Linked DNA regions of Oryctolagus cuniculus. The protein of the gene in region 4 interacts with the protein of the main gene of each other region in a pairwise test. Links are inferred from orthologs where the notes say so. Each region holds a gene or a part of one and is shown on either strand. Other genes may lie near its edges. The genes, in order: CYBC1, GALNT2, TRAF3IP3, KASH5 and TMEM11.

Region 1 (5,756 bases), on a different chromosome or scaffold from region 4:
TTTTTTTTTTTTGACAGGCAGAGTGAACAGTGAGAGAGAGAGACAGAGAGAAAGGTCTTCCTTTGCCGCTGGTTCACCCTCCAATGGCCGCCGCGGCCGGTGCACTGCGCTGATCCAAAGGCAGGAGCCAGGTGCTTCTCCTGGTCTCCCATGGGGTGCAGGGTCCAAGCACTTGGGCCATCCTCCACTGCACTCCCGGGCCACAGCAGAGAGCTGGCCTGGAAGAGGAGCTACCGGGACAGAATCCGGCACCCCAACTGGGACTAGAACCCGGGGTGCCGGCGCCACAGGCAGAGGATTAGCCTAGTGAGCCGCGGCGCCGGCGCTGGGAAACATACTTTAAAAAAACAGTTCTTATTTATTTTCATCCACTTAAAAGGTAGAGCATGAGAGAGAAAAAGATATCTTCCACCTGCTGGCTTCCTCCCCAACAGCCAGGGCTGGGATAGGTTGATGCCAGGAGCCAGGAACTCCATCTAGGGTTCTCATGTGGGTGGTAGGGACCTGAGTCCTTGGGCCATCATTGGCTGTTCCCAGGACACATTAGCAGGAAGATGGACTGGAAGCAGAGGAGCCAGTGGAACTGGCACTCAGAAACATTCTTTTTTTTCTTTTCTTTCTTTTTCTTTTTTTTTTTTTTTTTTTTTTTGACAGGCAGAGTGGACAGTGAGAGAGAGAGACAGAGAGAAAGGTCTTCCTTTTGCCGTTGGTTCACCCTCCAATGGCCGCCTCGGCCGGCGCGCTGCAACCAGCGCACCGCGCTGATCCGATGGCAGGAGCCAGGTACTTCTCCTGGTCTCCCATGGGGTGCAGGGCCCAAGCACTTGGGCCATCCTCCACTGCACTCCCGGGCCACAGCAGAGAGCTGGCCTGGAAGAGGGGCAACCGGGACAGAATCTGGTGCCCCGACCGGGACTAGAACCCGGTGTGCTGGCGCCGCAGGCGGAGGATTAGCCTATTGAGCCGCGGCGCCGGCCCAGAAACATTCTTTAAATGTTTAAAATTTGAGGGGCGGGCACTGTGGTGTAGTTGGTAAAGCCACCACCTGCAGTGCTGGCATCCCATATGGGCGCTGGTTCGAGTCCCGGCTGCTCCACTTCCCATCCAGCTCTCTGCTGTGGCCTGGGAAAGTGTGTAAGATGGCCCAAGTCCTTGGGCCCTGCACCCGCGTGGGAGATCTGGAGGAAGCTCCTGGCTCCTGGTTTCGGATTGACCCAGCTCTGGCTGTTGAGGCCATTCGGGGAGTGAACCAGCAGATGAAAGACCTCTCTCTCTGTCACTCTCTTTCAAATAAATCAATCAAGTTTAGGGGCCGGCGCTGTGGCTTAGTGGTAGAGCCGCCACCTGCAGCGCCGGCATCCCATAGGGGCACCGGTTCAAGTACCGACTGCGCCGCTTCCGAAATGCAATTGCGGACTTGACCTGCCCAGTGCCGACGGCGTTATCTCCTGGCCGTTCGCTATCCCGTGTTCAGCAGCGCCAACCAGACCAGGTGCGGTAGTCGCTCCCTTCACACGCGCACAGCTCCCCGGAGGTTGGCCTTTACCCGCGCACACGGCCGCACCGGGAAGCACCGGCTGTGAGCGCGGTGCAGGTCCCCGGCGACGGCGGCAGGCAGCAGTCAGCACGTCCCGGCCGCAGACGCCGTGGCGGGCAGAGGTCCCCGAAGGGCGCTGCCCAAGCGAACTTCCCGCAAGCTTCCGCTGCGTGAGCCGGCGAGTGTGCGCCGCGCAACGGCGCGGCGTGCGCGCGGGCCGCGGGCCCCGCAGACCCTCCGTGCGCCCCCGCGCCCGGGCCCCGGAGGCCCCGCGAGCCCGGAAGTCCGCGCGCCCCGCCCTCGAGCCCGGAAGTCCGCGCCGCCCCGCCCCGCCCCGTCGCAGGTTCGCGCCCCTGGGTGGCGGCGGGTGCGGACGGGCGCGGCGCGCTTCCTCGGGCCGGCGAAGGCGCCCTGCAGCTTCCCGTCAGGTGGGCGCGCCGGGCAGGGCCTGGGGCTCACCTCCGGGGGGCGCGGCGTGTGCGGGGGCCGGGGTCAGACACCCGAGTTCACTGAGGCTCGTGAGGCGCGCCCTGCCGGCGTGGGCTGTGGTCTCGAGCTGTCCCGGCACTGACGCGCCAGGCTCGGGTCCGCGGGGCCCGCGCGGGGACGAAGGGTTCCGGCAGTTCCGGGTGGGGGGTGCACCGAGTGCGCCTGGGGCCGGGTTTGCTGGGCTGACCGGCGGGCGCTGCGTGTCCTGCAGCGATGTACATGCAGGTGGAGACGCGCTCCAGCTCCTGCCTCCACCTCAAGAGGGCCCCCGGCGTGCGCTCCTGGTCCCTGCTGGTCGGTAAGGCCGTGGGCAGCACGCGGGGCACAAAGCACTTCCTCCTTCCGCTGCCGGCGGCGCTCTGGCTCTCGGGTCCCCGCGCGGGGCCGGCAGGCGCCGCTGTCCGCCGCCCTTCACCGAGTCCCGGCGCCGGTGCTGTGATGCGCGGGTCGTGGGAGGGCTGCCCGCGCGCCCGCGTTTCCGGTTCCCTGGCTCAGTGCCCTGCGGGAGTCCACGTCTGCCCCTCGCGCCGGTGGCTGCCCGTGGGGAGCGTCCTGTGGCCCCTCCGGCACCGTGTTTCCGGCGCGCGCTCTGACCCCCTGCCTGGCTGGCTTTGCGCCCTGCTGTGGTTTTCGGGCCTTCGTTCCTCAGCGGGTGCTGCCAGGGTCACCCCCATCAGGACAGTCTCCTGAGACCGCTCTGGGGCCCGCACGGGTCGTGTCCAGTGAACACTGCACTCCAGGCTGCCCCGCCGTGGGAAGGGCCCGCGAGGACCCAGTCGGAAGCCTCTCGCTCTCTTCACAGGCATCTTGTCCATCGGCCTGGCTGCTGCCTACTACAGTGGAGGTACAGGACACCTCCCCAGTGTGCCCCGTTTGGGAAAGTGTGGGTCAGCAGGACAGGTGATGGCCAGGGCCCGCACGGGCACGGGCACTGTCAGGCCTCCCCTTCCCCCCGCCCTAACCTAGTGGGTCTGGGGTCAGGCTGTGCTGGGCAGGGTGCCTGCCGGCACTCACGGGGTGGCGTCCTGCGTCTGTTTCCAGATAGCCTGGGCTGGAAGCTCTTCTATGTCACGGGCTGCCTGTTGGTGGCCGTGCAGAACCTGGAGGACTGGGAGGTAAGGCCGTCAGGTGGGGCGTGGGGGGGGGGGCACGCTCGGCTCTGGGCCCTTCTGCAGCAGGAAGGTTCCGGGTGGCTTAGTGCTCCGTTCCCGTCCTGAAACACCTGTCCTAGCCGGTGGCTTCGGTGTAGCGGGACGTGGCCCCTGAACGTTGCCTGTCGGCGCTTGGGCCAGGGACTCCTCTAAGGGGGTCTTCCTTCTGAAGTACCCTGTGACTGGTTTTGCTCCTGGGGCTGCCGTGGCAGAGGGCGAGTGCCATCCTGTCCCCTCCCTGGCCTCAGTGTCCTTGCCGTGTGCTTGTTTGACCCCGGGAGGGCACCTGCCCCACCCAGGACGGGGAGTGGGGGATGTGCTCAGCACTCTGGTTTCCAGGAAGCCATCTTCAACAAGAACACCGGCAAGGTCATCTTGAAAACGTTCAGCCTCTACAGGAAGCTGCTGACTCTTCTCAGAGCAGGCCACGACCAAGGTCAGTGTGCAGAGGAAGGGAGCCCAGAATGGCTGCTCAGCGCCTGAGGCTGAGACGCATGCAGCCAGCCAGGGTCCCCCCACGTCCCCGGCCTGCAGGGCGGGGTCTAGGCAGATGCCCCAGGTCTGGAGAATCCTGGGTTCTGCAGAGGCGCAGCCTGCCGGGGCGGTGGAAGGGGCTAGGGTGCATCCTGGCTCTGGGTTCTCCCCCTCCCCCCACTGAGCTTCCTTTGTCTGGGTGGTGGGGTGGTTGTGGGGCCCGGGAGGCAGGGTTACAGCAGTGAGCAGGTGACTGGAGCCAGCCACACTCCTCTCTGCTCCAGGGGTCACACGGCTTTTCCTAGGCCGTGGCCCTGCTCGGCCTGTGGGGAGGGATGGGTGGCTAGAGGAAGCCCCGGCCTGGAACAACTTCTGAGCCTGGAACTGGTTCAGCTGGGAGTAGGCAGAAGGTGCCACAGCCACTATCCTGGACCCTGAGGAGCTGGTTTCCAGGGCATCACAGGGAATGGCCAGGAAGCCCCCGCTTAGTGATTGGTCATGGGGGCCTTAGCCTTGGGTGTGCACGTGAAGACAGGAAGGGCTGAGCTGGGCTGTGGGCTCACACGGGTGTTTTGGCTCCATGATGGGAGCCCTGGGTGTGGCCTCACCAGGAGATTCTCGGGCCCAGGCTTGGACAGGGAGAGGTAAATGCTTTTGCCACTGACAGGTGCCTCGTGGCACAGGTGGGGTCGGGGACGGTGTGGCCACTGACCCGTCCCTCCACAGTGGTGGTCCTCTTGAACGACATCCGGGACGTGAACGTGGAGGAGGAGAAGGTCCGATACTTTGGGAAGGGCTACACGGTGGTGCTGCGGTTTGCCACGGGCTTTTCCCACCCTCTCACCCAGAGTGCTATCATGGGCCACCGCAGGTAAGACCCGGCTCAGGGCGGCAGTGCCTCATGCAAGGCGTGGCTGATCTGGCTAGAGCCTCCCACCCTGTGCCTCGGCCCTGTCGGATGACCCTCATGACTGATGGCCCAGTGTTGTGGGGCAGGAGGGGCAGGAGGGGCAGGAGATGCTAGTGTGTACACAGGAGGGGGGCCTGAAGGGGAGGCACAGGCTTGTGACAGCCCTGCCATGGCCACCTTGGAGAATTGGGCTAGGGTCAGGTACAAGTGGGACCAGACAGGAGATGTGGGGTCTGATTAGAGCCTAGGGGCTGCTGGACACGGGTGGGTTGGGTTGGGACTGGTGTGGCCTCCTGCTGGCTGCCGCCGGCTGACCTGGTGCTGGCCTCGTCCAGTGACGTGGAAGCCATCGCTAAGCTCATCACCAGCTTCCTGGAGCTGCACCACCTGGAGAACCCCTCGGAGTTGTCTGAGAGCAGCGACAGCGAGGCCGATGGTCCTGGGAGCCAGAGCTGACAGCCCAGGCTGGCCCTGCGTCCGGTCGTGCCTCCAGCGGAGCGGCTACCGTGAGGCCTGCCCAGAGAGCTGCTTGTGCCTTCTGGCCCTGCTGCACGGACTGCGCAGAACCACAGGCTGCGCCTTTTCCGAGGGCAGGGCCAGGGGGCGCTGGTGGGGGTCTGTTAGGGGATGTAGGGTGGGGTGCTATGTCCAGGGAGGCCACAGGGCTGCAGGGCTCGAAGTCACTCCTCGGAGTCGGGCAGCAGCCCTGGCTGTGGCAGGTGGGCAAGAAGATGGCGGTGGCACAGCCGGTCTAGGTAGGCCCATCCATGGCCTCTGAAACAAACAGGACCTGGGCTTTCTCCAGCGTGATGACCACAGTGCTGGGCCAAGCTGCTCTGCGGACACCAAGTTCTCTTCCTGCTGGACACCCCCATGGCCAGGAGCTTCCCCAGGGCAGCCCTGGCTGCCAGGGAGGGGGCAGATCCCCGGGCACCCCCTGCCGGAGGCAGCCTCTCCCCAGGGGCCCGCTCTTCCTGCGCCCGGCCCAGACAGCTGCCTCCTTCTCACCAGCACAGCAGCTGGGCCATCAGGAGCATCCACGCCCTCCCCGCAGCCTGGGCAGAGGCGTGTGTTGAGAACAGGAAGTGACTCGTGCGGTGTCTTGCAGAGCTGCAAAGGGGTTCTTGCGCTGGAGGTGAGTTCCAGCCCCCCCTCTGGAGCCCTGGAAGGCTCGGCAAGGGGGGGAGCCCTAGGC
Region 2 (5,281 bases), on a different chromosome or scaffold from region 4:
CGGTGGGCTGTTCGTGATGGACAAGTTCTACTTCGAGGAGCTGGGGAAGTACGACATGATGATGGACGTGTGGGGTGGAGAGAACCTGGGTACGTATCCCGCTCGTGGCGGGCAGCTAGGGCAGGGCAGGGTGCGTGGGGAGGAGAACTTTAGAAGACCTCCGTGTGTGCACACAGCACCCACACACTCCTGGGAGCGCCTTGCGTCAGTCACAGAACGTGTGCCTGTTTGTTAGCACACAGCATGCCAGAAGACAGAGAAAGTCCTTAAAGGGAGAGGCCGAGGATCCAGGGATTTGGAATGCAGACCTGCAGGGATGAGGGAAACAACCCTGGTGCCTCCAGCCAGGCAGAGCGAGAGTGAGCTGTTGGAGGCTGGGGGTGGACTGTATTGTAATCTGGGAAGTCAGACTGGGTGGAGGAGGCCTTGGCAATTAACCCCTTCGTGATGATTTTCATGAATGGCTCTAATGTGGCCTAATTTCTTTTTTAATAACCATGGACCTCATTTCTACCCAGGTTTAGGAGCAATGAAATGTTACAGACTGTAGTCTACAAAGGTAGCTCCCTCCTTTTCACTGCGTGAAAGACAGGAGGACGCTCGTATTTTGTCTGCTTGGTTCGTTTTTTTCAGGGCTCGTGATTTCTTTTGGCTTGTTTCTCGGGAAGCCTTGACTTTCGGGTCCTGAGCCGCCCCTCCTGTCTGTTGAACGATGTTCAATGGCTTTTATCCTTGGGGGAGGGAATCCCGGGGGGACAGGGGGGAAACTGAGGCCCCTTGTCATTCTGAGAACTTTTTACTTACAACAGAGGCCATGGTCATTTTTTTATTTTGTCTCAAATCAAAGACTGGGCCACCTGTTACTTTGTCCATTCTTCTTCTTCTTCTTCTTCTTCTTCTTCTTTTTTTTTTTTTTAGAGAGAGAATTATTTTATTTATTTGAAAGAGTTACAGAAAGAGGTCTTCCATTTCACTGGTTCAATCCCCAAATGACCGCAACGGCCAGAGCTGAGCTCATCTGAAGCCAGGAGCCAGGAGCTTCTTCTGGGACTCCCACATGGGTGCAGGGACCCAAGGACTTGGGCCATCTTCTACTGCTTTCCCAGGCCATAGCAGAGAGCTGGATCGGAAGTGCAGTAGCCGGGACTTGAACCAGCGCTCATATGGGAAGTCAGCGCTGCAGGCTGGGGCTTAACTCACTGCACCACAGCGCCAGCCCCGACTTTCTCCATTATTCTAAGGTGTCACAGTCAGAGGTGGTGTCTCTGCTCCAGAGGCCCTTTGCCTGGAAGCTGCTTTAGGCTGTGTCACGGCACTCTTTAAGGGCTTTTGGTGACGCACTGCCCTCTAGGCAGGGTTTGGGTTGAAGAAGGCATTTGGACAGGAAAGGCCTTGGAATTTTTAACCCCCGGGAGAGAGTTCTGCATTACCCTGAAGATCCAAGGTGTGCCGGATATGCCCCCTGTGGACAGCTCTGGACCATACCCTGGAAGGAGCCAGTCCCTTAGCAGGTCCCCACGGGCCGGTGCAGAGCTGCCCCCCGACTCTCTGGGTCACCTGTGTCTCCTCCACCATCCCAGAGATCTCGTTCCGCGTGTGGCAGTGCGGTGGCAGCCTGGAGATCATCCCGTGCAGCCGCGTGGGACACGTGTTCCGGAAGCAGCACCCCTACACGTTCCCGGGCGGCAGCGGCACCGTCTTCGCGCGGTGAGTAGTGAAGGGGTGAGCAGGGACCGGGACGCGACTGCCTGCCTCTGAGACAGGCCTGGACCTCAGGCCGTGTGGGAACAGGTGTCCTTTAACAGGAGTGCTGTGTTCGTACAACAGATTGCACTCACAGTTAAGGGGAGCAGGCTGTTGACGCGGTCGTACGGGCCCCTCTCCAGGGCACTGCGGTGAGTCTCTAGTGACAGTGAGCAGTAGCAGCCAAGGCTGGGGTTGGGGAGACTGACGGGAGGGGGCAGTTCCAGAGCATTTGGGGGGCAGCTCTGTTCCATCTGCGGATCTTCCATCCACTGGTTCACTCCCCAGATGGCTGCAACAGACTGGGCTGGGCTAGGCTGCTCTCCCACATAGGTGGCAGGGGCCCTAGCCCTGGGCCATCTTCTGCTGCCTCCCCAAGTGCATTAGCAAGGAGCTGGATTGGAACCGGAGCAGCGAGGACACAACCTGGCCCTCCAGAATGGGATGGTGGCATCACAGGTTGTGGCTTAACCCACGGCACCATAAGCCATCCCAAGGGAAGAACAGTTTATGTATTTACTACCCAAGGCACAGTTAAAGATTATATAGCCTTGGACTGTTGGAGCAGTATACCACGGAGTGGGTGATTTAGAAGGAACAGAAGCGTACACAGCTCTGGAGACTGGAACGTGCAGTGTGGAGGTGCGGGCACCTGACGAAGGCCACCCTGCTGCACCTCAGGGCGGAAAGGGTGAGAGAGGACAAGCGGCAGCCAGCCTGCCCTTCTCCGTGGTACCCGCTCCACCTTTGAGAGCGGGGCCCGCACGCCTAACCACCTCCTAACACTGGCAGTTTGTTATCACAGCCGCTGCATTTCAGCCTGAGTTTCAGCTCTCAAACTATGGCAGATATTAAAATCAAGTCATACCCAGAGAGACCGTGACATGTGGATAGAATTCATGATAGAACATAGGCAGGTTTTCGAAAACGCGACGAACTTTCTGGAGAAGAATCGCAGATGGCCATTCCATCACATCAGATTTTTTTCCTAGGGAATTCTTTTGGTTGCTAAAGATAGAACAGTGTACAAGTCCGACCTTGGGGAGGTTCCCTTTTCCCAGGGGTCAACAGTGAAACACACAGCAAAGGACATGGTTTCAAAGACTGACCTACCGCAGGCTGTGAGGAAGAAAGTGCGTAGACCTGGACAGGCAGGGGCGCGAGCTCGTGGAGGGGCCGAGGAGCAGGTGTGAGAGCTTAGACCTGGCAGTAGTGAGGGTCCCTGCAGCAGAGGCAGGTCCAGGCTGCTGACACAAGGGGCAGGTTGGCACGTCCACACCCCAGGACTACAAGGAAGCCAAGGTGACAGGAGCCCAGGGAACGAGGGGACAGTGGGCAGGTGTGGGAAGAGTTAGGCAGGCCTGAGGCTGCACCCCTGAGGTCTTGGGAAACCTTGGATGTTGTTTGATGGCACAGGGAAGCCATTGGGGGTTTTAAACAGGGGCCTGACTTCTCTGCTTAAAGCCTCAGAAAGGTCCTGCTGGGCGGAGGTGCTAGGAGAAGACACCATGATAAAGCAGTGGTGCCTATGCCTGTTCTACCAGGGGGCCTCTGAGCCCTGTTACGGTAGCCCAGGCCACAGAGGGGGCTCCTGGAGCAGGTATATGACAACAGAGTTGGGACCAGCACCCATCCCTGTGATTACTCATGGATGGCAGAGACCAGGGAGGTGGAACAAGGAATTAAGGGTCACACCCAGGTGTTTGTCACACAGGTGCTGATGGGGTGCCCTCCTCAAATGGGAAAGCTTTGGGGTGGAGAATGGGGATGATTACTAACTTATCTTTTTCATGTATTGATTGATTTATTTGAAAGGCAGAATGACAGGGAGAGGGAGAGACAGAAAGAGTGATCTCTTCCATCCCCTGGTTCACTCCCCCAAATGCCCACAACAGTCATTGCGGGGCCTGGCCAAAGCCAGGATCCAGTAACTCCATCTGAGTCTCCCACATGGATGGGCTGGACCCCAGTACTTGAGCCATTACCTGCTGCATCCCAGGTGTTCCTGTATTTGTCACATCAAGAAGACTGCGGTATAATAGGTGTCGAGTTAATACCCCAGTGAATGAACAAGCGAAACCAGCACTAAGTAGCACATGAAGCTCGTGCTTTGAGGCTGCCTTGATCATCTTTCTCTAGTCAGTAGACAGAATAGGTTGTTTTGCATTTAGTGATTAATTAAGAAATGACTTAATCATTGAAGGACTTAAGCAATTGCAAAACACTGTGTGGCTAGAATTCACAAAACCTTTAAACTGTTAGGGCTGCAAGGGACCTGGAGCAGCGTCCTTGAACCGAATCCAGCATCCTCCTGCTGGAGAAAGCCCGTGCCAGAGGGCTGTAGTCACACCTCGGGAGAGCACAGGTTAAGGCAGGGTCACTCAGCAAGACCCCAGGGTGCCTCTCGGAGTATGGAATGGCTCTCCTGAGAAATAACCCTTGAGAACCAGTGTCCCCAGCACTCCCAGTACTCATGGTTATATTTATGTGTTTTCTCATAGAGAGAAAGCAAGAAATTACTGGTCTCATGGTTAAACCACATTGTGCCCTGGTACTTTTGTAATCTGATGTCTCAGCCTCTCAGTCTCTCTCCCTCGCTCCCTTGCTCTGTCCCCTCCCTCCCCCACCACGTATCCACTCTGTGTTGGCCTGTAGTCTGTCTGTTTTTCATCCAACATTGAGTCAAGGACGTTGTAAGACGTACACCTGCAGTTTTTGTGACCACAGAGCTCACCTGACGCTCATTTATTTGATCACTTCCCTGTGTGTTTGGCCACATGTGTTTCTGATTTCTGATTTTTTTTTTTTTTTTTTTTTTTTGCCATTATGAACAGTGCTGAAGTGAGCATATTTTCACATATATTTTCACTCCCGGTGGATTATTTCCTTGAGGTAAATTTCTGGAAGTGAAACTGCTGGGTCAGAGCATCCGTGCATGCGTATTGTCTTGCCTGTCTCCTCAGTGGCGTTCTGACCGTCCATGGCCCACTTCAGTAAGAGGAAGAAGATGCACACGTCACTTTATAGGAAAGATAGCGGCCTCTCACAGAAATCACGTTCATTGGTCTAGCTCCGATCATTTGAAGGGCTCGCCATTCAAGGGTGCTGCTGGGAGAGCAGAGGGCACGTCGCCTCCCCAGCGTATTTATTGTGCAAGAACAGCATGTCCCACGTGAGGGTTCACCGTACGCCTTCCTCAGAAGTGGGTTCAGGACAGGAGAGCAAAGAGGGTCGCTGTGTTAACGCTGCTTCCCGGACGCTTTAAAAAGAACCATTGGCAGGGTATGCTGCTGACGGCTACCCAGCTCGGTAGCCTTTCATGTTTGTCCGACCTTCAACACTGATGTGTCCCAGGGCCCTGTTCATCGTGGCTCGGGGATCCCTCCGTGAGTGTGTGAGTTAGGGATGTGGCTCCGCTCCCTCCTAGGAAACCCCCGCTTTGCCTGTGCCCTCAAGCCGTAGGAACCCCAGGCATGGCCGTGACGCTCCCAGCCCCTCGTGCCACTGTCCCTAGGCTCTCAGCTCAGGGCTGCAGAAG
Region 3 (5,281 bases), on a different chromosome or scaffold from region 4:
TAAAAGTTTACATGGCTGGGACTTGAGGCCCTTTTCTGTTTTCAGATGAGGAAAGCAGCAGGTGGTCCAGGGACAACCCCTCCCCACCACCACCACCACTCCTGGCCCCAAGGACTAAGAATGAAAAGTGTGAGGAAAGGATAAAGCCATTCAGAAATGGTACAGAGAGGACTGATGTCTTCATATGGCTCCATGGGGTCAGTGCTGCCTGAGGCCAGAGGGCACTGCTCCAACCCTTAGGAGTAAGGCATCAAGGAGTGTCCAGGCTTGCCCACATTAAGACCCCTCTCAGAGAGTGAGACTGCCCTGCCTGTGACCCTAAGAAATGAGTGGTGAATCAGAAAGAGCAAGAATCCTTCAGAGAATTCTAGACTAAGCAAGGATAGGCAGCAGAATCCCAATAAAAGGGCAGGGAGGCTGCTACCTGTGCAGTCTGCTTGGCCTATAAGCAAACCCATATGGCCAGAGCTGGCTAATGCCTGCTGGTTGGTGGAGCTAAGATACCACCTCTCTGACCTACCCAGGAACTGAAGTTCCCGGGGTGGGGGTGGGGTGGTAATGAGGTCATGAGCTGGAGAAAGGAGACAGCAGCTGTGAGGGGGAGTCCCTCTTCCTTCATCAGTCCCAGGTCTGACCCCAGTGGTCAGAGGCTCGGCGCAGGATTTCCAAAACTCAGGATCCAGCTCAAGTGCAACCCCACTCAGCAAAGCTCCCAGAGCATCCTAGGAGAATAAGCGAATTCACAGCAGGTAGGTGCGGAGAGCAGGAAAGAACAAAAGAGGCCAGGAAAGAAGAAGGGATTGGGTTCAGGTGCATTGGAAATGGCAGGGAAGACAACATGCAAGGTGTCAAGTACAGCCTCTACACCATAAACCTGGTTCCCTGGGGACTTTGGGTTCCTGATTCTGTTTGTTTACAGGACAGACTCTTTGAGGTGTGATTCATGTGTGTGCTGGTTTGGATGGCACAGTCCATGTCTGGACTAAGGAAAGCAGACTTGGAAGCAGAGTTAACCCTCACCGGGAGGTGATTCTAGAAATATGCAACCCTCAGCTTCCCAAGCGAGAGAGCCAGATGCACGGAAGTGGGTTTCATCCTGGACTGGACGTGTGGCAGGGGCTTGACCAATGCTGATTTGATCTGATTTGCACATGCGAACCAGAACCCAGCCCTGAGAGTGAAATGGGTGCCAATGGACCCATGCCGGGACGACAGAGGACCCAGCAGACTAGGAGCACAAGCTGGTTGCTAAGGGCCGGGAAGACAGCAGTGGTTGCTGGTCCCAGGCCTCGTCACTTCCTGAGGAGGATCGGTTTTCCCTCCGGGTCTCAAGTGTCACTTGACTATTTTAGTAACAAAGTAGGCCAAGAGAGCAGTAAAAATGCTGACTCCCCTTCTAGGTTTGGGAGATTAAGGGGAACAGGGTCAACTTAGCTGTATCCTTGGCAGGCTTCAAAATGAACACACGTGCTGCAGAATGAGATCATTCTAATTTTGTCAATTATTTCTCATGCCTTAGAAGAAGCAGTGGTATCCAGAGAGACCCGAGCACTTCACAGAGGGTTGACGCAGGTTAGAGAAAATCAGGAATTCGCTTTTCTTAGATTTTATTAGTTTGCCAGAGACTAAGCCCAGGAGTGCAGGCTCCAAGCTGGATACTCTCACGTCCTCAGTGCTCGACACATGTGGATGGAACGCTGTGCTATTTCTGCCCACTAGACCAGGGAGATGGTCATCTTTCTTCCTGTCTTTTGACACCTCCCTCTTGGCATTTGGCAGGGTCCAGGCGGTTATGCAAGGAAGTGGAAGCCAAGTGCAACAGGTGCTCGGGAGGTCATCATGATCAGGCCAGACCCCAGGCCCTCCCCCGGCTTGGCCCGGTGGGCTGAGAGCTACGAGGCCAAGTATGAGCGCCGGCAGGAGACCCGTGAGAGCCGCCGCTGTCGCCCCAACATGACCACTTGCCGCCAGGTGGGAAAGGCAATGAGGACCCAGCAGAGAGAGCAGCTCCAGCGAGCTCGACAACGGCAGTTCTTCCAGAGGAGGAAGCTGGAGGTGGAGGAGCGAGGCCAGGCACGGCCTCCCGGGGCCAAGGAGCAAGGCCCTTCCAGGAGGACACGCCAGGCCGCTACCCTCAATGGGTCCTTGTCTTGTGCCAACAGGATCTCCTCCCCTGGACAGCAGGTGGGCCATGTCCAGGGACGCACTGCTCCCAAGGTGGAGGGAGGGTGGGCTCAAGGTCACGAAAAAATGGTTCTACTAAATCTCTTATTCTTTGGTCAAATACGAAAGTCTCCACTTGCCAGCTATTTAGTCACACAGGGATTTTTGTTCTAGTGTTTTCCTTTATTTGTTTAGCTCTTTTTTTTTTTTTTTTTTTTTTGCACTTACCTTCTGGGAGAAAAAAAATTATGAACAATCCCATTGCAATACCTAGTGTCAGTTCAAATTTAGGCAATCTATAGTATCTGCTAAGCTATTTTACAGCATTCACCCACCCATCATTCATGCAATATTTACTGAATCCTTATATGCCAAGGACAGGCCAACCCTCTTTATGTCCCCTCTCCCAACACACATGCGGACACAGACACACACACCTGGTCCTCTATTCTTCTGCAAGTCTGTTGCATCTGCTCACCCTCTCGCTTTCCCTTGGCCATTCCAGTTCTACCAAATTCACTTAGTTAAGGCCTCAATCTGGTCCAAGAAGCCTTCCCTGGCCTCTCCAGGCCACTCTTGCTCTCTGTGGGTTGTGGGGTTATAAATCTTCTAAGATTGTGTAACGCTTAGAGAGCTCGTTGGTCTGGCCTGGGAAGCAGCAGTGTTGGCAAACGCCAGGGTATGTGGAGATGATCCGACCTCAGCCAGCAAGCCATCTGTGTCTGCCCACCAATGCTGTGAGCACACTGACAGTACGGATGGGTCTGCTGTATTCCCTGGAAACACCTGGCCCTGTGCCGTACTCTGAGTAGCAGCTCCATCGGGGCTTCTTTCCTGGGGCTCTGCTCTGCGTAACGGGAGGGCTGTTCAAAGAAAAGATCCTGCGGCTCAACAGCAAAAGGAAACCAACTCTATGCTTCCTAAGGCAGAACGACTTCTGCATGCGTTTTGTTGGAAGAAAAGAAATCCAGAAAGAAAAGTAGAGCAACTACAACTCATTAAGAACTCCAGAGTTCCACGTCCACCTATCAGTCATGTGAGGTTTTACTGAGACTGAATCTCTGTCCGCGGGATTAGGTACTACGGGGATGTCACCAGCACAGACTTCCTGTGTTAGCAAGAACACAAGATAGAAAGAGCAAACCAAGCTGTGGCCACGACCACCACCCCCTCTCCTCAGCTTCCTACTTTACCTTCTCTTCGCACAAAATCTCAGAGATTCTCCAGCAGAGAGGAAGGAAGCTAGCTCTAGAATAAAGCAAGCACCCTGCGAGTCATCTGTCCCAAACTCCCCACTGCACAGGCAGGAGACTGACACCACAAAAGCAGGATCTAAAACCCAGAGCCCCTTACCCACTGCCACTCAATTCTTTTTCCACCTTGCCACCCTGGGTGAGTAATTGGCTGGGACCAAACAGTATAGGCAAGGATTCTGGAGTGAATTGTTAGAGGCAAATCCAGCTGCCAGGCAGGACCTGGCAAGCAGACGCAGCGGAAACCTTGTGGCCTGGAAGGCTCGAGTGGGCTCCTGGAGCTGAACTGCTGTCCTGGGCACTTGCACTGCTGTCCCCAGTCAGCAGGGACTGGGAGGCCTTAACAAGAGAAACTTATTTCTCACAAGTCTGAGAGGCTGGAAGTCCAGGCTAGCGGCTCTGGCAGTCAGTGTGTGAGGACATTCTTCCTGGGCTAGTGATGGCCTTCTCATCGCATCCTCACAGGGCAGAGAGCAGACAGGGAGGCACACCGTCTCGTGTCTCTGCTCATGAAAGGGTGCTGGAACCATCATGAGGGCTCCACTTTGACCTGACCATTCCCCAGGGCTCCACACAAGCACTCGGGCCACAGCAGATGTGATCTCTCCAATCATCTGGAGAATCTGCTTCCTTGAGGCTCTGGGGAGTGGTTCTCAGCATCCCCTACTTGCTTTCCAGGTGGCAGAGACCAGCTCTAAGAGCCTTCCAGGCCAGCAGCACCCTCCCGCAGACGTCCAGAGGGGTCTAGCTGACCAGCCCTCCCCCCTGGCAGGGGGCCTCCCACCACAGGACCCTTCCATCAGGAAGCTGCCCAAACATCACCGTGGTAAGGGCAGTGCTCCTTGGCATGACTGGATCTACAGGGAATCCACAGTTCCAGCTCACTGGCTGTGGAGAGTCCCTGTCCCTCCTCCTCTCCCTCATACCCTCTCCATGGCATCTGAGTCACCTTATCCTCCTTCTCCCAGGCACTCAGACCAAGGCAGAAGAACCACAGCCGACACTGAAAAACGATGCCAGTCAGCAAACCAAGTGAGTTCCTTTCACAGTCCTGCCCCTAACACCTACACAGCCCATCCATCCCTGTCTCCTAGGCTCCCACTTGAACACCTCTACCCAGCATGTAGAGGGAGCACAGTGACTTTCCATGCCACTTTAATCAGGAAGAAAGAAGCCCTTCCCCACCCCAAGGGCTGTTCAGAAGGGATCCCAGAAAGAATCCACCTGCTGCCTCCTGATTTGCTTAATGTCCACTGACTTTTCTTCTTCTCTTCCCAGTTATGGAGTGGCAGTTCTGGATAAGGTAAGAAAATTGCCACTTTGAAGGGGTTTCTCTAAGATACAAAATTCTGGAATTCCACGATAAACTCAGGCCAAGATGAAGGGGGACGGGCCTGTGCTGTGGCATAGCGGGTAAAGCCGCTGCCTGCAGTGCCAGCATCCCATACGGGTGCCAGTTCAAGTCCCGGCTGCTCCACTTCTGATCTGGCTCTCTGCTGTGGCCTGGGAGAGCTGTGGAAGATGACCCAAGTCCTTGGGCCCCTGCACCCGTGTGCAAGTCCCAGAGGAAGCTCCTGGCTTCAGATCAGTGCAGCTCCGGCTGTTGCGGTCAATTGGAGAGTGGGCCAGCAGATGGAAGACCTCTCTCTCTCTCTCTCTGCTTCTCCTCTCTCTGTGTAACACTGACTTTCAAATAAATGAATAAATCTTAAAAAAAAAAAAAAAAGATGAAGGGGGCAGTTCTTACTGGATGGCCTGGGGACTCCAGAGCCTACAGCCCCAAGGCAGAAGAGGTTTGCTCTACCCAAGCCAACCCAGCTGTGGTTCCACATCCCAGAGATTCAGGGAACCAAGAGTCACGTGAA
Region 4 (5,281 bases):
GTGGAGACCGGACACGGTTTCCAGAGGGCACAAGGGAGCCAACGCAGGAAGGCGAGGCGGGCGTCCCAGGCAGAGGCTCGGCCGTGAGGACAGCTGGGCCGGGAGGGGGGTAAGCAGGGCCTTGTCACCAAGTCCAGCCAGGCTCCGGCCCAGGGTGCTGACGGGCGTGGAAGGCGTCGGTTCGGGGAGGAACGGGTCAGCTCTGGGGCTCTGTGGGGCCGGATTGGTTGGCTGGGGGATGGGGGATGAGTCCAGGCAGGGCAGAGGTGTGGAGAGAAGGGATAGGACTGGGGACTTGGCCGCACAGGGGTCTCCCCAAGGGGAGGCTGGGACCCCCACCCGCGAGGCCCCTTTGATCTCTGCCGCCCACGTGTTGCCAGCCCACACCACCAGTTCATAAAACAGGTTGGAGCTGGAGCCGTGGGTAAAGGCGGGGGTGGCAAACAGGTTCTGAGGACGTGGAGTGGCCCGCGGCGCAGGTGCCTGGTGTCGCTCTGAGAAGGCTTTGCCCTGCTTGTCCCTCCAGGAGCGCTCAGCTGCTAGGCCCCATCCTCTCCCTCCCGGCGAGGGAGGGGGCTGCTAGCTTCTCCAGCAGCCGTGGAGTAGCCAGGGAGGCCCATGGACCTGCCGGAGAGCCGGGCTGGTGGCCCTGCAGCACAAAGTAGGTGGCTGGGCCCCTTTCCGCGCCAGGGGAGCTGGGGGTGAAGGGGCACCAGGCCGAGACTCGGATTTGGGAGCGGTGGCTTGGGGTACCTGAACCTCCACACAGATGTAGGGTGGGAGGAAGGGAGCAGTGATGGACCGAGCGCCTCCCGTGAGCCCGCCCACCGGTCTGTATCCCTGGGGTGTGTGCACTGGGGAGGCCAGCTGTCGCCTGTGCCTGTGCTGAGCCCTGGCCAAGAATGCCCTCCCGGTCCCCGCAGCTCCCCGCCTCCCACGCCCATGGCCACCCTGCTGCCACCGCCAAACCTTAGGGGAAACAGCCGTCTGTCAGCCCTTCCCCGTCACCTCTCCCTCACGGCCCTGACGTCTGCGTCTGCTCAGTCCCTCTCCCCACAGGAGCTCCGCAGGGGACACTTCATTCAGCTGGTCCCTGGTCCCTGGCACAGCACTGCCCCAAAAAATGTGGGCCACATAGGAATTTGTGAATTCTTTTAAAAAGAAACAGCTGAGGCCGGCGCTGCGGCTCACTAGGCTAATCCTCCACCTGCAGCGCCGGCACACCGGGTTCTAGTCCCGGTCGGGGCGCCGGATTCTGTCCCGGTTGCCCCTCTTCCAGGCCAGCTCTCTGCTGTGTCCAGGGAGTGCAGTGGAGGATGGCCCAGGTGCTTGGGCCCTGCACCCCATGGGAGACCAGGAGAAGCACCTGGCTCCTGCCATCGGATCAGCGCAGTGCGCCAGCCGCGGCAGCCATTGGAGGGTGAACCAATGGCAAAGGAAGACCTTTCTCTCTGTCTCTCTCTCTCACTGTCCACTCTGCCTGTCAAAAAAAAAAAAGTAATAATAGATAGTATTGAGCCTTATAGATCCAAGCAGCGTATACAACCAATATGAGACAGTCTTTTTTTCCACACAAAATCTTCAAGATCTGGTGTGTACTTTTTTTTTTTTTTTAAGATTTATTTTATTTGAAAGAGTTACAGAGAGACAGAGGCTGGTTCACTGGTTCACTCCCCAAATGGCCACAGCTGGCCAGAGCTGAGCCGATCCGAAGCCAGGAGCCAGGAGCTTCTTCCGGGTCTCCCACGCAGGTGCAGGGGCCCAAGGACCTGGGCCATCCTCCACTGCTTTCCCAGGCCACAGCAGAGAAGGATTGGAAGTGGAGCAGCCGGGTCTCAAACCGGCGCCCATATGGGATGCCGGCACTGGAGGCGGAGGCCCAGCCCGCTGTGCCACGCTGCAGGCCCCGGTGTGTACTTTAGCAGAGCGTCTCAGTTCACACGGAGTCCACGTGCTCAGGAGCGCGCGTAGCCAGTGGCTGCCCTGTTGGTTCCCACTGCTGAATACATAGGTGGGCGCAGACCGCACAGCCGGCTCCAGGGGGAAGGCGGTGGGCGGCCCGGGGAAGCTTGTCTGCCAGGCAGGAGAGCGCGGTCTGATGGGCGAGGAGGCCTCCCCAGTGGCGGGCCCAGGCCAGCGAGAGAAGCAAGGCCACTCCCTCCGCTCCCTGGGCACCCAGCAGCACAGCCTGCGTCTTTCCCAAGGCCCAGGCCTGAACACTGGCTTCAGGATGCTTTCCGGGCGGCGCCAAGGCCAGTGCCAAGGTGCGGGATGCAGTGCCGGCCGACCAGTTAGGGGCGCCCCCGAAACGTCACCTGCACCAGCAGAGGGCGTGCAGCCACCGGCAACCTCCAAGCAGGGACCGAGCCAGCTCCAGGAAGCTCGCGAAGGGAAGGGAGGGACACGCCCAGGAGGAGAGATGGAGATGGGGAAGATGTGGGGGGTGGGGGGAGCCGGCCCAAGGACAGAGAGCCGCCCCGAGAAACACGAAACACGGAGATGAGAGAGGAAAAAAGATAGGATACAAAGGGGGAGACGCAGCAGGGGGAGGCTGAGAGCCAGGGAGAGAGGGAGACAGACGCGGAGAGAACAGGAGAGCAGTGACAGCCTCCTGAAGGGACGGGAAAGGCGTGCCCCCAGAGCCGGCACAGCCTAGGGCTGCACAGCTCCAGGCTTGGCCGTCCCTGGTGGGCGGCCCTCGGCGAGCTAGCGGCTGCCCCAGCTGTCCACGGCCGGAGCAGAGTCTGGAAGGTCAGTTCCGGCCCTGGAGAGAGTGGGCCAGCCCCACAGCCCCTGGGCCCGAGGTCTCCGTGGATGTGATAGCGCATCTATTGAGCACCGGCTGCATACAGGCACAGTGCTCAGGTGTCTACACAGACCCTGGGAGACCCGTGAGTGGGTTCCTTCCCAGATACAGAGCTAACCCCCCCCCCCCCAGCCCTGGAGAGAGGGGTGGCCCTGCCCACCCCACCCCCTTTTTATCCAGGAGAGAAACTGGCGCTCCAAAAGGAGAAGCCATTTGTCTACAGATGCGCAGATGGGCTCCACGCCCAGCTCAGTCTGACACAGCGATGCGGCTCCCGGCTGCTCCCGCTCCCCTGCCAGGACCACCCTCTCTCCCCGCATCTCAGGCCCCTGGCCGTGGGCTCTGTGCGAGGCCAGCCTCGCTTCTGTCCGCAGGGCGGCGTGAGGTGGGGACAGACCTGGTCCCCAGGGCAGGCTGGGAGGCCGGAGATGCAGCGGTCGACATCGATCCATGCTGCCCACACTGTATCGGATTGTTCCTGGCTCCCGCCCCCCTTCACCCTTGGGTCCTCCCAGAATCCTCTCCTCTTTGTCCTTCCCCACCCCAGCCCCCTTCTGTGCGCATTCGGGAGTCTGGAGAGGAGAAGCAGTGTCAGTGTTCATTGTCTGGGGGCTGAGCCACTGGGGTTAGACAGCGGGGGGACCTCCTGGCCTGCAAGACAGGACCTGCCAGGGGCCGTGACTCGGAGACTCTCGTCCCCCACCTCCTGCCGTCCCCCACCGGCCCCAGCTCCAGGTGGCTGAGTGGACTCCCTTCCCTGTGCAGAGCCCGGCGGCCGAGGGCCAGGCTCCTGCTCGCTGCAGAGCTGGGCCTCCTGTCTCCTCAGGTTACCCCTGGGAGCAGCCTGAGGAGCTGAGCCCGGGCATGCTGCTCAGCCTAGAGGAGCAAATACTCAACTCCACATTCGAAGCCTGTGACCCCCAGAGCACAGGTGGGAGGGACCGGAGGGCAGGGCTGGGGAGGCAGTGCGGGGGGTGCTGGGAACTGGGGGGGCGAGAGGGGACGAGGCTGGGGACCCTTCGGAGGCTCCTGCAAGAGCGAAGCAGGTGACTGTCCAGAGCTTTGGGATGGAACTGGGCGAGGTGGTGGAGGTCCCTGAGGCTGAGGGGAACTCGGGGGGCGCTGATGGAAGGGGGGCTGGGGGGCCTGGGACGGAGGAGGGAGGCAAGTGTGCACGCCAGCACCGGCCCTCGTCACCGTCCTCCCTGGTGGACCCTGTGCGGTCAGGAGGGCTGGGCCCCACTTCCAGGTGAAAATGTTGACTCAGGAGAGGAAGGGACTTGCCCAAGGTGTTGCCCCAGTGCCACACGACCCGAGCCCCCAGGCTCTGGGGCAGAGTGTCACACGACCCGAGCCCCCGGGCTCTGGGGCAGAGGTGCCACACGACTCGAGCCCCCAGGCTCTGGGGCAGAGTGCCACACGACCCGAGCCCCCGGGCTCTGGGGCAGAGTGCCACACGACCCGAGCCCCCGGGCTCTGGGGCAGAGTGCCACACGACCCGAGCCCCCGGGCTCTGGGGCAGAGTGCCACACGACCCGAGCCCCCGGGCTCTGGGGCAGAGTGCCACACGACCCGAGCCCCCGGGCTCTGGGGCAGAGTGCCACACGACCCGAGCCCCCGGGCTCTGGGGCAGAGTGCCACACGACCCGAGCCCCCGGGCTCTGGGGCAGAGTGCCACACGACCCGAGCCCCCGGGCTCTGGGGCAGAGTGCCACACGACCCGAGCCCCCGGGCTCTGGGGCAGAGTGCCACACGACCCGAGCCCCCGGGCTCTGGGGCAGAGTGCCACACTACCTGAGCCCCCGGGCTCTGGGGCAGAGTGCCACACGACTCGAGCCCCCGGGCTCTGGGCAGAGTGCCACACGACCGAGCCACTGCCCGTCCCCACCCACCACCTGCCCCTGACTCCCTCGTGACATGCTCTGTCCAGGCACTGTGGCTGTGGCCCACGTGCTGGCCTACCTGGAGGCGGTGACGGGCCGGGGTCCCCAGGATGAGCGCCTGCAAACATTGGCCCAAAGCCTGGACCCCAGTGGGGAGGGCTCTGGGGCCACCGTGGACTTGGACACCTTCCTGGTGGTCATGCGGGACTGGATCGCTGCCTGTCAGCTGCATGGGTGAGTGCCCATACCTCCGCTCCCTGGGGAAGTCCTTCCTGAGGTCTGACTGCCTGCCTGCTTGCTGCGGCCAGCACCACTCAGGCCAGGGACCCACTGTGGTTGGAACGAGACTGAGGGGATGGAGTTGGAGGGAGTATGTCAGGGGTCTGAGGACAAAACACCTCAGCAGAGGAGGAGGAAGGGGCCTGGAAGCAGAAATAAAGGGGACTGGCAGGGCCCCCCCAACCCCAGACCCAGCCCTAGCCCCTCCCGCTTTCCCATCTGGGCCCGGGCTCTGGCCATCTGGCCTCACCTTCCTCCCCGTGGCGCCCACTCTCACCTGACCCAGGCCCCTCCTCCACCCCACAATCCCCTG
Region 5 (5,938 bases), on a different chromosome or scaffold from region 4:
CCGCTGTGGCTGTGGGAAGGCAGAGGGGCTCTTCCAGACCCCGTCCTGCCTGAGGGGGTGACTGAAGGGACCAGGGGACCTGGGAGGATGGTCACCAGATCCCTAGGGGTTGGAACAGGACATGGTGGGGTCACAGCATGTGGATTCCAAAAGGCAGGGGCCTGTGTGGGCGTCAGCAGGGCCTGAGCGCCGCCGTGTGTTCTCCAGCGCTGTCCATGGTCACCAAAGGCAGGGTGACCCCAGCGTGCACACTGTGGGGTAAGGCAAGGTTTGGGGTCCTGACCCCGGCTACCGTGTCTGGTGTGAGCCCAGAGGGCGAGCCAGAGGCACAGGCTGGGTGTGTCTCCTGGGTGAGCCCATCAGACTGGGTACACAGAGGCACAAGGGGCCGGCGCTGTGGCAGAGCGGGTAAAGCCACCGCCTGTGACACTGCCGGCATCCCATATGGCGCCAGTTCAAGTCCTGGCTGCTCCTCTTCCAATCCAGCTCTCTGCTATGGCCTGGGAAAGCAGTAGAAGATGGCCCACCTTTCTCTCTGTCTCTCTCTCTCACTGTCCACTCTGCCTGTCAAAAAAAAAAAAAAGATGGCCCAAGTCCTTGGGCCCCTGCACCTGCGTGGGAGACCATCTGGGGAGTGAACCAACAGATGGAAGACCTCTCTCTCTCTCTCTCTCTCTCTCTCTCTCTCTCTCTCTGCAGCTCCAGGGCCTTGGGGACCCATATGTCCCTCTCCCCTTCCTAGGAAAACCCAGTGAAGCCCCGCAGTGGGAACCTCAGGCTGACATCAGAGCACTGGTGGCAGTGCTGGGACCAGAGGGGGCTCCTGCCCCGCTCCCACCCCGCGGTCCGCTCCCCCACCCCAGGCGACTGCTGGGCAGTGACTGGAAAAGGTGCCTGGACCACATGCCAGGAGGTTGGTGGAGAGGGAGGTGGAGCCCCCCCCAAGTTCAAGTCCAATCAGGGGGCGGGGCCTGAACTCATGGAGAGGGGGCGGGGTGCTGCTGCTCCCTCCCCTGCTGTGCTGCTGGGAGCTGACCCACAGCAGCCTGAGCCAGCCCCGGGGGTGGGGTAGCAGCCCCCTCCTCCACCTCCACAGGCATTGGAAGCTCCTCCCCGTGGGCGACCCCTTCCCAGCAGGCAGCCGCTGCCCCCACCCCCAACTCTGGGTCTGGGAGACTGCAGGCCATCTTGCCCGGAGCTCGCCTTTTAATAAATAGTTCAAATATTTATTTAAAAAAAATCAATAAAAGGGCATCTAGTCAGGCATTTTGGGGCAGAAGGTCAGGGAATGCAGTATCTAGAATGTGGATGGAATGTCTGGAGGCGTGGTGGCCATGTTGGGACCCCGAGGCAACAAGCATAAGGAGAAAGTGAATTATTGTCACCAAGTATTTTTTTTTCTTTTATCCTAGCAGGTGAGTGCCTAACTAGGAAGATCAAGCTATGAAAGTATCCGGAGGAGGAGGAACCTGTCAGGGAGCCAGAATGGCACCTGCAAAGGTCCTGAGGCAGGACTACAGGCTTGAACGATTTGAAGAACAGAGTTGATGCAGTGCCATGAGCCGCAGGGCTGCTCTGGGTCTCTGGGGTTGCACCCCGCCCTTTCTGCCAAGCTGCCCCTCTTCTGCCTTCTCCCTGCCGATGCCCTCCATGACGTCACCACGCCCCCTCCCCCCAGCCTGGGCTGTGGCCTCCTCGTCTGAGGGCTGGACCGTGGCAAGGGGGGGACTGGCCCCTGGGGGTCTCAGGCCTCCACCATTCCCCCTTGCAGACAGGGGTCCCGGTCAGGGAAGAATGTAGAGGTGTTGATTTTGGGGGCCAGCAGGTTAAGCTGCCGCTTGCGATGCAGGCATCCCAGATGGACCCAGGTTCGAGCCCCGGCTGCTCCACTTCGGATCCAGCCCCCGGCCCACGCACCCCTGGGAATTGTAGGCACCTCCCTCCCGCTCCCCTTGGCCCGCGCGCTCTGCACACCCAAGAACGTCCGCGCGGGTGGGCGCCCACACACTCGGGGGGCGGTGGCGGCGGCGGGGGCCGCCCTGGGCCCCGGGCTCCGTCCCTGCGAGCGCGCGCGCGGACTACATTTCCCAGCCGCCCCCGCGGGTCCGCGCAGGACTACATTTCCCAGCCGCCTCAGCGAGCGCACGCCCGGACTACATTTCCCGCCGCCGCCCGCCCCGCCCAGGCCGCCGCGCCGGCGCCGGCGAGCCGAGTGTCTCCAAGATGGCCGCCTGGGGAAGGAGGCGTCTCGGCCCGGGCAGCAGCGGCGGCAGCGCCCGAGAGAGGTGAGGCGCGGGGCTCGGCGCCGGCGGGGCGCGGGCGGCGCGGGGGTGCGGGGCCGCGGCGGGCCTCCCGGGACGCGGGGATGGCGCTGCTCAGCCCTCACCCCACGCCGGGGCTCGCGGGCGCCCGGGCTCGCGGCGGTGGGAGCCGCCGGGCCGCGGCGGCCTGGGCCGAGCGCGAGGGCCCGGAGGGAGAGGCGACGGCCAGGGCCGCACGGGGCCCTAGGGACCCGCAGGGCCGCCGGCGGGCAGGGGGCGGCGCAGAGGTCGCGCCCCGCCTGGCCGACGCACGTGGCGAGACGGGGGCCCGGGGGGCGGCCAGGGCGGCGCGGTCTCCGCGGGACCCTCGCCGGGCCGCAGCTGCTCGCCCGCCGGCCTTGCAGGCGCGCGGGACGCCTCGTGCGACTTGGCGGGCGCGCCGCGGAAGTCCTCTGACGTGACCTCTGCGGGACAATGAATGGTGCGTGGGTCGCGGCTCGGGGGCCGCGGGCGTGCGTGTGCCGGGAGCGCCGAGCAGCCGGGGTCGGGGAAGCCGAGGCGGGCGGTGGGAGGCCTGCGGGGGTGCACGCGCGCGTGAGAGTCGGCGGAGCCGCCTGGGCTGCAGGCTGGGACAGCAGAGTTTCCATCTTGCCTTTTATTTTTCTAATTCCCCCGGGTGAGGCTTAAGCGGGAAAGGCGCCGTCTCTGTTGTGCGTGATCGCTTGGTTGGGGGGCCGGGCCCGGGCCGCGTTGGGACCCCCAGCACCCCGCCGTCTGCCTGGGAGACGCAGGGGCCGGCAGGGGTGATCGCTTGGTTGGGGGGCCGGGCCCGGCCGCGTTGGGACCCCCAGCACCCCGCCGTCTGCCTGGGAGACGCAGGGGCCGGCAGGTGAACAGAGGATTTTTTTCTGTGTTGTGGCTACTTCCGATCGGTGCACGGGCAGTTGAATTAAAGGACGCATTTGCTTAGGTGCAAACTTGTTAAGTCCGTGCGGAGCTTTTTTTTTTTTTTTTTCATACTAAGGCGTCTTCTGGGAACTTCTGGAAGATCCCAGCCCCTCCGAGACGCGGACCTCGGGAGTTTTTTGCATGCAAACGAGGAGCAGGGCCGACTTTGCTGTGTGTCTCCCCGGCCCTGGCGTCTCGTGGCTCAGCCCGTGGGCCGAGGTTACGGCCTGGGTTTCCAGGCGTTCATGCAAGCGTTCCTCTCGAGTGGCAGGAAGTAGTCTGTTTATAAAACTCGGGATCAGGCAGGGGGAGGGGCCGGAAGGGCCCACGAGGATGCGGCTAAGACAGCCCCAGCGTGGTTTTCCCGTCGGCCTGAACCAGGGGCTCACTGGGCGGGGAGCTGCCCTCCGGCATCCCCGGGGCCTTGTCCAGCCGACGGAGGCCACGGGGGCCGTCCGCGGGGACTGGGGACTGGCTGGCTGCAGGCCTGGGCAGGTGCACGCGGCGTGTGGCTCCTCACCTGGCTCGCCGGCGGCGACCTCTAGCCTGGAGCTGTAGGCTTCTGCTCACACACTGGTGTGTGAGCCTTCTGGCTCGGCTACTTGGGTATCGCCGTTTGCCCTCCTTCCAGGTCTGTGCTGTGGCCGGAGAGCGCCCCCTCCGGGCCGTGAGGCCCCCGCCGGGTGCTCTCGGAGGTGTCCCCTGGGGTCCTGCGAGCGCGGACGCTGGATGGGGATACGGGGCAGAGCCTTGCTGACGCGAGGCCACCCCCACCCCGCCGGGTCCCCCACTATCCACTCTCTGAAATGCCTTTGCCCCGGGTCCCAGCCGGGCGGGCGCAGATCTCAGCTGCACACACCTGGCCGGCGGGTGCCGTGCAGAGCGGCTCTGTGGGCGCACTTGCCAGGTTGGCCTGCGCCCCGGACTCCGTGCCCAGTGCCAGTGTCCCCACGTGTTGCTGTCCTGAGCCACCTCTGGGCAAGCCGGGAACAAGCGCCTGGACTCACCGCAGTTCAGGCGCTGCTAGCCAGGTGCCCGGGAGAAGTCCCCGAGGTGGGCTCTCGCGGCTGGTGGCCGGCCCACGGGACAGCGCAGAAGTCTGCAGGGACAGAGCTGGCCTAGGCGGGAGCAGAAGGGGCTCCGAGGCCCGCTGCTGGCTGCCTCCGTGTTGACTTTCCTCTCCACTCCGTTAAATCCAGGGACCCAGCAGTGTCTGCAGTGAAGAACAGCAGACTCTGAGCTGTAGCCCGAGTTCTTGCCCAAAGCGCAGCCCGCCGCGGCGAGCACGCCACACAGATTGCCACTGGTCCCGCCGGCGTCGCTGAGGCACGCGTGCCCATCTAGGAAAGCCCAGCGCAGGTATCTGTGTGTTCTGCCACCTGCGTGCCGCCGAGCAGTCCCCGCGGGTGTGGTCCCAGGGCGCCCGGGTTCCTGGGGTCGGTGGCCTTCCGCACCATCCGCCCCTCTGGTCCGTGCAGCATCCCGGTGGGAAGCCCGCAGGTCACCTGTGCGTCTTCCTGTGCCGTGCTGTGGTCCCCCCAGGACCTCGTCCTCCTGTTGGGTTCCGGTGGACGAGGTCTCAGGTGGTCGTGGCGGGGTGGGTGCCCGGTGCTGCTGACCCCAGGGCCCGGGAGCCTCCAGTGTGGTGGAGTTGTGTTCTGGGGCGACAGCCACCCCCCTTCCTGATCCCGTGCTTTCCTTTCGGAGCTGAGAGCCCTTAGAGTCTGGGGGCTTTAATTTCCCCCGAAAGACCCGGGATGCCGTGGCAAATGGTTTCCTTCCCCTGGTCGGGCTGAGATGAGTGCACGCAGGATTTGCACCCAGGGCCACCGTGGGGCGGAGGTTCAGCTCTCCTGGCTGGGGAAGGGTGGGGGCTCCCGGGGCTCCCACGTGGCTCTCACCGCTGAGCCACAGCGCCAGCCCTGGGCTGGGGTGGGGGGAGTTTCTGCTCTCCCCGATTCACCCAGGCACTCTGGGTCCAGCCGCATGGAGCCTGCTGCCCGTGCCCTTCTGAGCTGCTGTCCAGGGAGCCCCTGTGGGAGGTGTCCCGGGTCTGCCCTGGTGCCGGCGGCATCTGAGCGTGGAGTTGTTGGGAAAAGCCAGGAGCCACTCGTGGTCCTGACAGCTGGGTGTGCCCGAGGACTGGGGTGGGGGATTCATCTGGTTTTAGCTCATTTAGGTGTGAATGGCCTGAGGGGCCTTGCACGGGGTGCCGCCTGGCCGCTGCCCCTGTGCCCCACACACCCGGGCAGGGGAGAACCAGAGTGTTTGCCCTTGCCCAAGTCGGTGGCTGAGAGGGGGCGTGGATCCAGGCCTCGCCCCTTACCTGCACTGCCCGCGCCGCCCTCAGCGCTGGGGGCTCTGACTCCTCTGCGCCATCGCTCTGCTTTCCTTCCGGTCCGCCCACGGTGGGGTTCCTGCCGGGGAGATGTGACCGTGTGGGAAAGCAGCGGCAGCCTGCCCCTCCCAGCGGAAGCTTGGAGTGGAACCTGCTAGGGTCAGGCTGAGACGCTGTGCAGGGGCCTGGGGAGCAGCATCCCCGCGTGGGCCATCCCATTCTCTGGCAGGGGTGGGGGTCCAGCCCTGCACTTGCACACTGAGGGGGTGCCGGGTGAGCCAGGCTTTTGTGGTTTTTTTTGTTTTTGTTTTTTGTTTTTTGACAGGCAGAGTGGACAGTGAGAGAGAGAGAGGGAGAAAGGTCTTCCTTTGCCATTGGTTCACCCTCCAAT

Evidence for each region.
Region 1: the proteins of KASH5 (region 4) and CYBC1 interact in binary tests that used the Homo sapiens proteins (3 or more experiments, as listed by UniProt). The two-hybrid records come from large-scale screens. The link is inferred for Oryctolagus cuniculus from reciprocal best matches to the Homo sapiens genes KASH5 and CYBC1.
Region 2: the proteins of KASH5 (region 4) and GALNT2 interact in binary tests that used the Homo sapiens proteins (3 or more experiments, as listed by UniProt). The two-hybrid records come from large-scale screens. The link is inferred for Oryctolagus cuniculus from reciprocal best matches to the Homo sapiens genes KASH5 and GALNT2.
Region 3: the proteins of KASH5 (region 4) and TRAF3IP3 interact in binary tests that used the Homo sapiens proteins (3 or more experiments, as listed by UniProt). The two-hybrid records come from large-scale screens. The link is inferred for Oryctolagus cuniculus from reciprocal best matches to the Homo sapiens genes KASH5 and TRAF3IP3.
Region 5: the proteins of KASH5 (region 4) and TMEM11 interact in binary tests that used the Homo sapiens proteins (3 or more experiments, as listed by UniProt). The two-hybrid records come from large-scale screens. The link is inferred for Oryctolagus cuniculus from reciprocal best matches to the Homo sapiens genes KASH5 and TMEM11.

What each region holds. Positions count from the first base shown.
Region 1 is NC_091448.1:649,919-655,674, forward strand, and holds the start of CYBC1 (cytochrome b-245 chaperone 1), read left to right. Parts: upstream 1-1,810; 5' UTR 1,811-1,965; intron 1,966-2,237; 5' UTR 2,238-2,239; coding exon 2,240-2,324; intron 2,325-2,828; coding exon 2,829-2,870; intron 2,871-3,067; coding exon 3,068-3,141; intron 3,142-3,516; coding exon 3,517-3,613; intron 3,614-4,377; coding exon 4,378-4,522; intron 4,523-4,896; coding exon 4,897-5,017; 3' UTR 5,018-5,756. UniProt on the Homo sapiens protein: Functions as a chaperone necessary for a stable expression of the CYBA and CYBB subunits of the cytochrome b-245 heterodimer. Controls the phagocyte respiratory burst and is essential for innate immunity.
Region 2 is NC_091444.1:49,920,894-49,926,174, forward strand, and holds part of GALNT2 (polypeptide N-acetylgalactosaminyltransferase 2), read left to right. Parts: coding exon 1-89; intron 90-1,580; coding exon 1,581-1,707; intron 1,708-5,281. UniProt on the Homo sapiens protein: Catalyzes the initial reaction in O-linked oligosaccharide biosynthesis, the transfer of an N-acetyl-D-galactosamine residue to a serine or threonine residue on the protein receptor.
Region 3 is NC_091444.1:24,608,362-24,613,642, forward strand, and holds part of TRAF3IP3 (TRAF3-interacting JNK-activating modulator), read left to right. Parts: intron 1-1,779; 5' UTR 1,780-1,839; coding exon 1,840-2,184; intron 2,185-4,094; coding exon 4,095-4,242; intron 4,243-4,384; coding exon 4,385-4,448; intron 4,449-4,694; coding exon 4,695-4,719; intron 4,720-5,281. UniProt on the Homo sapiens protein: Adapter protein that plays essential roles in both innate and adaptive immunity. Plays a crucial role in the regulation of thymocyte development.
Region 4 is NC_091449.1:8,007,713-8,012,993, reverse strand, and holds part of KASH5 (protein KASH5), read left to right. Parts: intron 1-526; 5' UTR 527-618; coding exon 619-661; intron 662-3,632; coding exon 3,633-3,737; intron 3,738-4,736; coding exon 4,737-4,923; exon of another isoform or gene 4,924-5,111; intron 5,112-5,281. UniProt on the Homo sapiens protein: As a component of the LINC (LInker of Nucleoskeleton and Cytoskeleton) complex, involved in the connection between the nuclear lamina and the cytoskeleton.
Region 5 is NC_091448.1:65,901,989-65,907,926, forward strand, and holds the start of TMEM11 (transmembrane protein 11, mitochondrial), read left to right. Parts: upstream 1-2,134; 5' UTR 2,135-2,223; coding exon 2,224-2,285; intron 2,286-5,938. UniProt on the Homo sapiens protein: Plays a role in mitochondrial morphogenesis.